Bombyx mori: one gene and its partner. The protein of the gene in region 1 interacts with the protein of each later gene in a pairwise test. Links are inferred from orthologs where the notes say so. Each region holds a gene or a part of one and is shown on either strand. Other genes may lie near its edges.

Evidence for each region. The genes of interacting proteins can lie anywhere in the genome.
Region 2: the proteins of TRAF3-interacting protein 1 (region 1) and dystrophin, isoforms A/C/F/G/H interact in a two-hybrid assay, tested with the Homo sapiens proteins (2 studies listed by BioGRID and IntAct). The link is inferred for Bombyx mori from reciprocal best matches to the Homo sapiens genes TRAF3IP1 and DMD.

What each region holds. Positions count from the first base shown.
Region 1 is NC_085131.1:5,592,702-5,596,698, forward strand, and holds the start of TRAF3-interacting protein 1, read right to left. Parts: upstream 2,811-3,997; 5' UTR 2,628-2,810; coding exon 2,493-2,627; intron 896-2,492; coding exon 778-895; intron 204-777; coding exon 1-203.
Region 2 is NC_085113.1:13,856,819-13,860,338, forward strand, and holds part of dystrophin, isoforms A/C/F/G/H, read right to left. Parts: intron 3,438-3,520; coding exon 3,315-3,437; intron 1-3,314. UniProt on the Homo sapiens protein: Anchors the extracellular matrix to the cytoskeleton via F-actin. Ligand for dystroglycan.

The sequences.
Region 1 (3,997 bases):
AATCGATTCTTTAGATCTCGTTTCTTTTATAAGCACAGTATTTTGTGATGCATTTTCTTTATATTTTTTCACTGCTTCTACTGACGATAAATTGTTGTCTAGAGCTTGTGCCAAACATTGTAAGAGTTCATTCGTTTTCTCTGCCTCTTGACCTGCTACTATCTTTGAAGGCTTAATATTGATAGGTTTTCCTGTTGTATAATCTGTATATAAATTTACTAAATTAAGAATACTTGTAAGTTTTTTTAAATACATACTTAATTGTGTTAATATGTGAGTGAGTTCGGGAACACAACGTATTAATCTAATATATATTATATTATAGTAGCTGCGAAAGTTTCGAAAAGAATATGGGCAAGACAGCGGTAGTTATTACATTAATAGATAGAAAAAAAACGGTATCTGATACGGTTATTTGAACCTTACAATATTCTCATAACTTAATATTGCCTGTCTAATACATTAAGACAGAGTAGAGTAGCCATCGTGCTATGGAACTTATAGAACTAAGATTTATAACTCATGTCTCAAGGTGGGTGCTGCCATTTCCGTTGTTGATGTGTATGAACTCCGATAACCACGGGTATGCAGTGAGCTCGGTCACCTATTTTAGCTTTAAAATTTTACATAAAACTAATTTGCAGAACTACTATCCAATTGAAATAGAGACCCTAGTAAAGGTAGGTATTCACTTTTTGAAGTCTATGGACTCCGATATTAGAACCCCAGGCGAGCTGTGAGCACGTTCATCCATCTATACATCTAAAATCAACTTACGTATAACTGAAATGACTTTATTTAAAAACTGTATTTTACTCTCTCTATCTTTAACATTCTCAGAAGTTAACTCGTCCTTTTCAAATAAACCTTCGAAAAATCCAGTTGTTTTTAAAACCTAGAATTAATAATAAAAAGCATTAGAGAAAATAATGATTAGTAAAAACTTAGACTTACATAGGTCTCGATGTCTATGGACTTTGGTAACAGATTAACATCAGCTCAGATCAGGCAGTGAATACAATGGTAATAAAAAATTTGTTACCAGGACATGTTAGCTACTTAAGCCATTTTGTAAGTAATATCAGACTATTTTACTTAGACTTTAATTAACTTTGGGATAACGCTAAATTTTACCCGGGACTTCATAGAAGGTGTAAATATTATTTAATAAAGAATGTTAAGGAGCTATTTAAGGGACCAAAGTCACGCTTTTTAACCGACTTCAAAAGAGGAGGTTATCAATTCGACCACCATATTTTTATCTATGTTGTTCACCGATATCTCGAGAATGCTTGAACTGATTCTGATAATTCTTTTTTTTTGTTCGAAACGCTAGACTTCCCGAATGGTCCTGTAAGTAATCATCAGGATCAGGATCTGATGATGGGATCCTGGAGAAATCGAAAAAATCTACAATTTTCAGCCTATCTTGAAATGATTTGGGTACTTCTTTTTTGTTCTTATTTTATGTCGCCGCGCACCGGCGCGGCGGCGGCGCCTTCTACCTACACCATTATTACGTGCTTGATCATTATTTTTCTTATGCATTTTGCTAATGTTATTTTAAAACTGCGATATCTTCTAGGATACTCATTGAAATCAAATTATGTAAAGGGCCAATTTCTTTTAAATTAAATGCTTGTAATGAATAACGTATTTCTTTGGATAAGTATTAAGTAATATCATCTTTATAAAAACACCGTCACAAATAATGCTTTATTTTAGAACAAATTTGGTTAGTTTAAAAAAGGTTTTAGTGAGCCAATATATGCCGTCGCGGAGTTTTTTTTAAAACTTTTAAAGGGGATTTTTTTGTCATATTTTATTTTAGCGACACTTAAACCGTTTCCGCAGCGCACGCAGCGGAGGCTCCCAAAAGGAAATAAACCCGATTTTGAAACATTATTTATTAGTGCTCCGCTCGTATTGGTCTTAGTGTGATGTTAAATAGCCTATATACACTGAAAGAAATTTTCAAATCGGACCAGTCGTTCCTGAGATTAGCGAGTTCAACCAAACAAACAAACTCTTCAGCTTTTTAATATAAAAAAATAAAGTATAGATAGATATGGTGTTGCTTTATTTAATTTCTGTTCAGATTGGTCATTTTTCTGTAACAGGTCTCGTCAGTGGAATTACACAGCGTAAATACGCCTCTAGGGTTCTAGGGTAGATACCCTAAAACTAAAAAGGCTCCTGTTAGGATAGACGCAAACCGCATCATTACGCGCTCAGTTTTGCTTTTTCTTTACTTGGCCATTTTCATATTTTCATTCTTTATGATTATTCTTTACACACAAACAATAAAGCACGATTTAATTTCGTATTAAAAAAAATATTTTTTTCGTTTATTTTATTAAGGCGTTAAACCTTATCGGCTCAGGGCGCTGAATCTTATCATACGTCACTGGAAAAGTGCATTTTTGAAGTCATTGCTATTTTGAATTTTCTAAGTGTGTTTTTAAAGTGCTTTGAAAAATATATGCACTCACGCTAGTAATAATATCATGTAGAAATCTAAAGGGAGGCTTCTTCAGTAATTTTTCACTTAAAGGCGGCCTCTTCACATATTTTCCGAGAGATGTTTGAGTTTCTTTTATGATCTGTGGATCTATTTCTTTTTCCATTGCACATATTACAAAGTAAACATGAAGCAATAAATATCAAATAACCATATACCTATTCTTAACGACACAAAAAATTGTTGATTACAATAATTTAACAAGAAACATAGGTTTCATAAAGGTTGTCAGGAGTCGTGGTATTTTTAATTTTGTGTACACTGTACGTTCCCATGGAAACGGCTTAGAACCCAAAAATGTTTTGTTGGTCAAAGAACGGGATATATGCCCATACAGCCGGTATCCATTTTCAAGATAGCTTTAATGACAATTGTAAAAAATTCCAGGCAAAACCCATATCGTTTGAATGAAAAGTGAAAAAGAATAAAACATATTTAAAACCAATGAGATGGGATGGAATGGCATTAAATGAACACTCAGTAAAATACAAGGATTTACGGAGCTTTCAAATTGGCAATCTAAAGTAATTTGCGCAACAGCGATCTTGTTTTTATTACGTACTTTCAAAAAGAAGGATTGATTTTTGCTGCTATGAAAATCCACGGTGCCCGCCACGGTGATCTAAAGCAGTGCTTTCCAAACATTTTTCATTCCCATACCCCTTAAACTTTTTTTGAGTTCTCCAACCTTGATAACTCCATACCTAATGTGTCTCATTTCTCTTCGATTAAATCCTGATAACTCCATACTTAAAAAATGTCTCATTTCTGGTTTATCGGTCGTTTTTATTAAATAGTTATTAGAATAAAGTTCATTTAAAACTATATGTTGTAGACAAAACAACATTATCATCATATTTTTAATTTTTTTAAGTTAACTACTTAAACTTCTCAGTATTTACGGCCATTACCAATATAATTTTCACGTACCCCCAATGGGATTCGGAACACCCCAGAGGTACGCATATCCCAAGTTGGTAATTTACAATACACCTTTCCCACTTTCGAAAAAAAATCCACATAATTTTAATTTGAACTCAACATACGCCATATCATGTCAAGAAGCTCATTTAATTTTCATATTGAAAAAAAAAAGCAGACTTACCGTATCATAGATTATCCTACGTAAGCACAAATCAGCACAATTACTAATGTTTATTTATTGTCTGTGTACAATTTGTAGGTCTATAATTTTATCAATAATTCTTTTAAATTGCATCAAAATAATCAATTTATTACAAAATAAATATTTTAACAAGACTTATTTATGTCTTAATTAATCGTTTAAAATTGTGGCTCGATATGCTTTTCCTTAGATCTACACTACATTGGCAAGACTGAATGTAAATTTAATATGCAGACGTGGCGCCTGATGCTCTGTTCTGTCTAAAGTTTACTTGAAGACCAAATTGTGTGAAGCTATACAATTTTCTCAAAGCGCCTGAGTGAAAGTAATATCAAAGTGTATACCCACTA
Region 2 (3,520 bases), on another chromosome or scaffold:
CGGATGATGTCGTGACCAAGGGAAATAGGGATTCATTTTTATATATATAGATTAAAATTAAAGTTATTATTATTTTTAAATATAATTAAAAGCAAATATTCTTGGAATACGTTGGATTGTGGCAACATTGAAAATCTAAGAATGAAAGTGGGCGGAGCCAACGGCGCGGCGTTCCCAGAGCACTGTAGAAGTAGGAGTCGGTTATTATAAGGTTCATTATACTTAAATTGACAAATTTAATAAATATGTATGTACTTCGGTATATTTACAGGTGTATTTCAAGTATATTTCACAGTAACTAAACTAACACTACTTTTTTTAGTTCCTGTGAAATTTTTTGGCGCCCTTATCTCTTACACTCTGTAGTGTCGCCACTTAAAGCCGACTTAAGAAAACTAGAGGTCCCGCAGTAGTCGAAATTCGACTATGATTAATTGGAATTGTATAATAAGTTTGTACACTATTATGATTGTATTTTCTACTTCTATCATCACAAATTTCGCCAAGGCTACGCTATAAAAAAATATTAATAAAGACAAACAATATTTAATGTATTCTCAATTTGACCACAGACGTCAAGAACAAAAGTTTGACAATAAATAGTATGCATGCATGTATGCATGCATGTGTGCGTCAAATACATGGTATGTAGTGTGTGTAATGGTTTCTTGATTGATTTAATGTATCTTTTACGCATTATTTAAAAAAAATATTAGCATTGTGCACTTCATCTCTATATTCTCTATAAGTGTGGAAAAATTCATACTCCTCCGTCCGCGCAATTTTCGTAAAAAGGGATACAAAGTTTTTGCTTCACGTATTAATATATAAATGAGGACGTTCTGTGTTCGACTCTGTGCATATTTTATGAAAAATCAGCGGTTTGTGGTTGATAAAATATTACCTAATACGTCTGTAAAATTGTGAATATCGATGATATTGATAATTGGAACTTGGATGTAGGAAAGGTGTCTTTATTTAGTAATAGCTAAAATAGAACGGAGGGTTGAGCATACTTATGGTATCACCGCCGCTTAGGGATATTAGAGTTAATTTCGGATTTATACCACTGCATGCATCAAGCAGCGTTATTTGACAATAGAGGAAATAGAAAGGGCTGTCGTAAGTGGTTTTGTTGACTCCTGATTGTTCACATGGTTGCAAAATCAGAATAATTTCGCTTAAATCGTTAGCTTTAAAAATATTTCACTTTTCATTTATTTACATAAAATATTATCTGCGCAGATTAAAATATATTTTACTCTTAAGTGTAACCTGATAAATGAACTTTACAAAAATATGTACACGCTGTGTTATTTGCATTTTTTGAGGAAATTCAAAGATATTTTTTTTTGTACTATTAGTTAGTTCCATTTGCCTCTTTATCTAAGGAGCAGCTCAGCGCTCTCTGTGTTTTGTACCCGATATTCCATGGAGGGCTCCGAGGTTTTGTTTTTTGTTTTTATTGGCCTTGTAGACAGGCGAACATGAATGAATGAACGTAGTGGCTCCAGGTAGTATGGAAGAACTCTACTCCGGGGGCGGGCCGTGCGATAGTAATAACGAGGTGATGGGATCATCTCAAGCAGTTCATCTGCCGTGTGGAGTACATACATTTAGTAGATACAGTAGGTACCTACGTACATTTGTACATTCGGTACGTAACACAGAGAGAACCGAAGTTCCTCCGTAGACCCAGAGATTCCATGCGATCCATGAGAATGGGATCAACGACAATCCGATTGACCTTTTTCTGATTGAGGTGAAATGGAAGAAGCTGGTATTTTGGAGCACCGGCTGAAAAATGGGGGCAGTTTTCCACGCTAGGCCGGACTTGTGGTTTGTAAACCAAAACCTTTATCCAGGTGCGAAGTGCCGCTTCGCTCTATTGAGGACTCCCATCATTTTTGCGACAACTTGGCTTTGCCCACGAAATGACTACGACAATAGGATATCCACTTCTGGCACTAGTGTTGACCGCCTCTCCTGCATCACGGTCTGGGAGAGACTTTAAGGGCTGATACATCACGCATCCCCCGTGCTATCATCAGCACAACAATGGCATGCCATCAATAGATAGCATATCATTGTTTGATATGATTCCATCATCCCTTTTATCACCGCATCACCTCACTGTAGCGAAGTCCGCCCCTGCCAGCTGGTACCGCTACGGTTATCCACAGTCCGTTGAAACATAATATGTTTGAAAACCACTCCAAATCGCCTGCACGCAAAGTTGCAAGTCGTCTGCACAAAATTTTTTTATTTTTTATTTTTATTGCTTAGTTGTGTGGACGAGCTCACAGCCCACCTGGTGTTAAGTGGTTACTGGAGCCCATAGACATCTACAACGTAAATGTGCCACACACCTTGAGATATAGTTCTAAGGTCTCAGTATAGTCACAACGGCTGCCCCACCCTTCAAACCGAAACGCATTACTGCTTCACGGCAGAAATAAGCGGGGCGGTGGTACCTACCCGTGCTCACACAAGGTCCTACCACCAGTAATTACGCAAATTATAATTTTGCGGGTTTGATTTTTATTGCACGATGTTATTCCTTCACCGTGGAAGTCAATCGTGAACATTTGTTGAGTACGTATTTCATTAGAAAAATTGGTACCCGCCAGCGAGATTCGAACACCAGTGTATCGCTCGATACGAATGCACCGGACGTCTTATCCTTTAGGCCACGACGACTTCAAAATCCTATCTTACCTATCCTAGGTATGCACACTGAAGATTGAGCGTCATAAGGTTTATAATAATAGAATAATAAATGAAGACAAGCTATGCCCTTCAGGCACATGTACCTACTCGTACTATCTCTACGAGCTGAGTGCGCGCGTTGCGTCGGCAGGCACGCTCTGTACTACTCTGTAGGAGACCATAATATTATAGTAGGTACGTGTCGGTTGACGCGAGTGTTGTCGGTATTTAAGGAGTGAACTAGTAACAGTCACAGAACTTGATTTTTTAAATAAAATTAACGATAGCATATATATATATATATATATATAAAAATGAATTGCTGTTCGTTAGTCTCGCTAAAACTCGAGAACGGCTGGACCGATTTGGCTAATTTTGGTCTTGAATTATTTATGGAAGTCCAGAGAAGGTTTAAAAGGTAGATAGATATGAAAATGCTCGGAATTTTGTTCTCCCTTTGATGTGTCCCCCGTCGGACGGATTCCTTTTGTTTGTTTTAAGTTTATTTTATACAAAAGTTTAGGTTTTTGATTTATCTATTGAGACACTACGAATTCTGCCGGGTCAGCTAGTATTAAATAAAAAGAAATTAAAAGTGCACTTACACTTAGTGTAGTTTAGATGCTTTTCGTAGGGCACCCGGGCGCACGGGGGCGCAGCGCCCACCTCCACGAGCCACGTGAGCCGGCGCCGGCCCTGCGCCGCCGACGGTGCCGCCATCTCGTATCCTGACAGAACAACATTACACTCTTAAGTCAAGTCGCATTTTTGATCCAATCAGTGAAACTTTCACTTGACTTCAACTGACGTC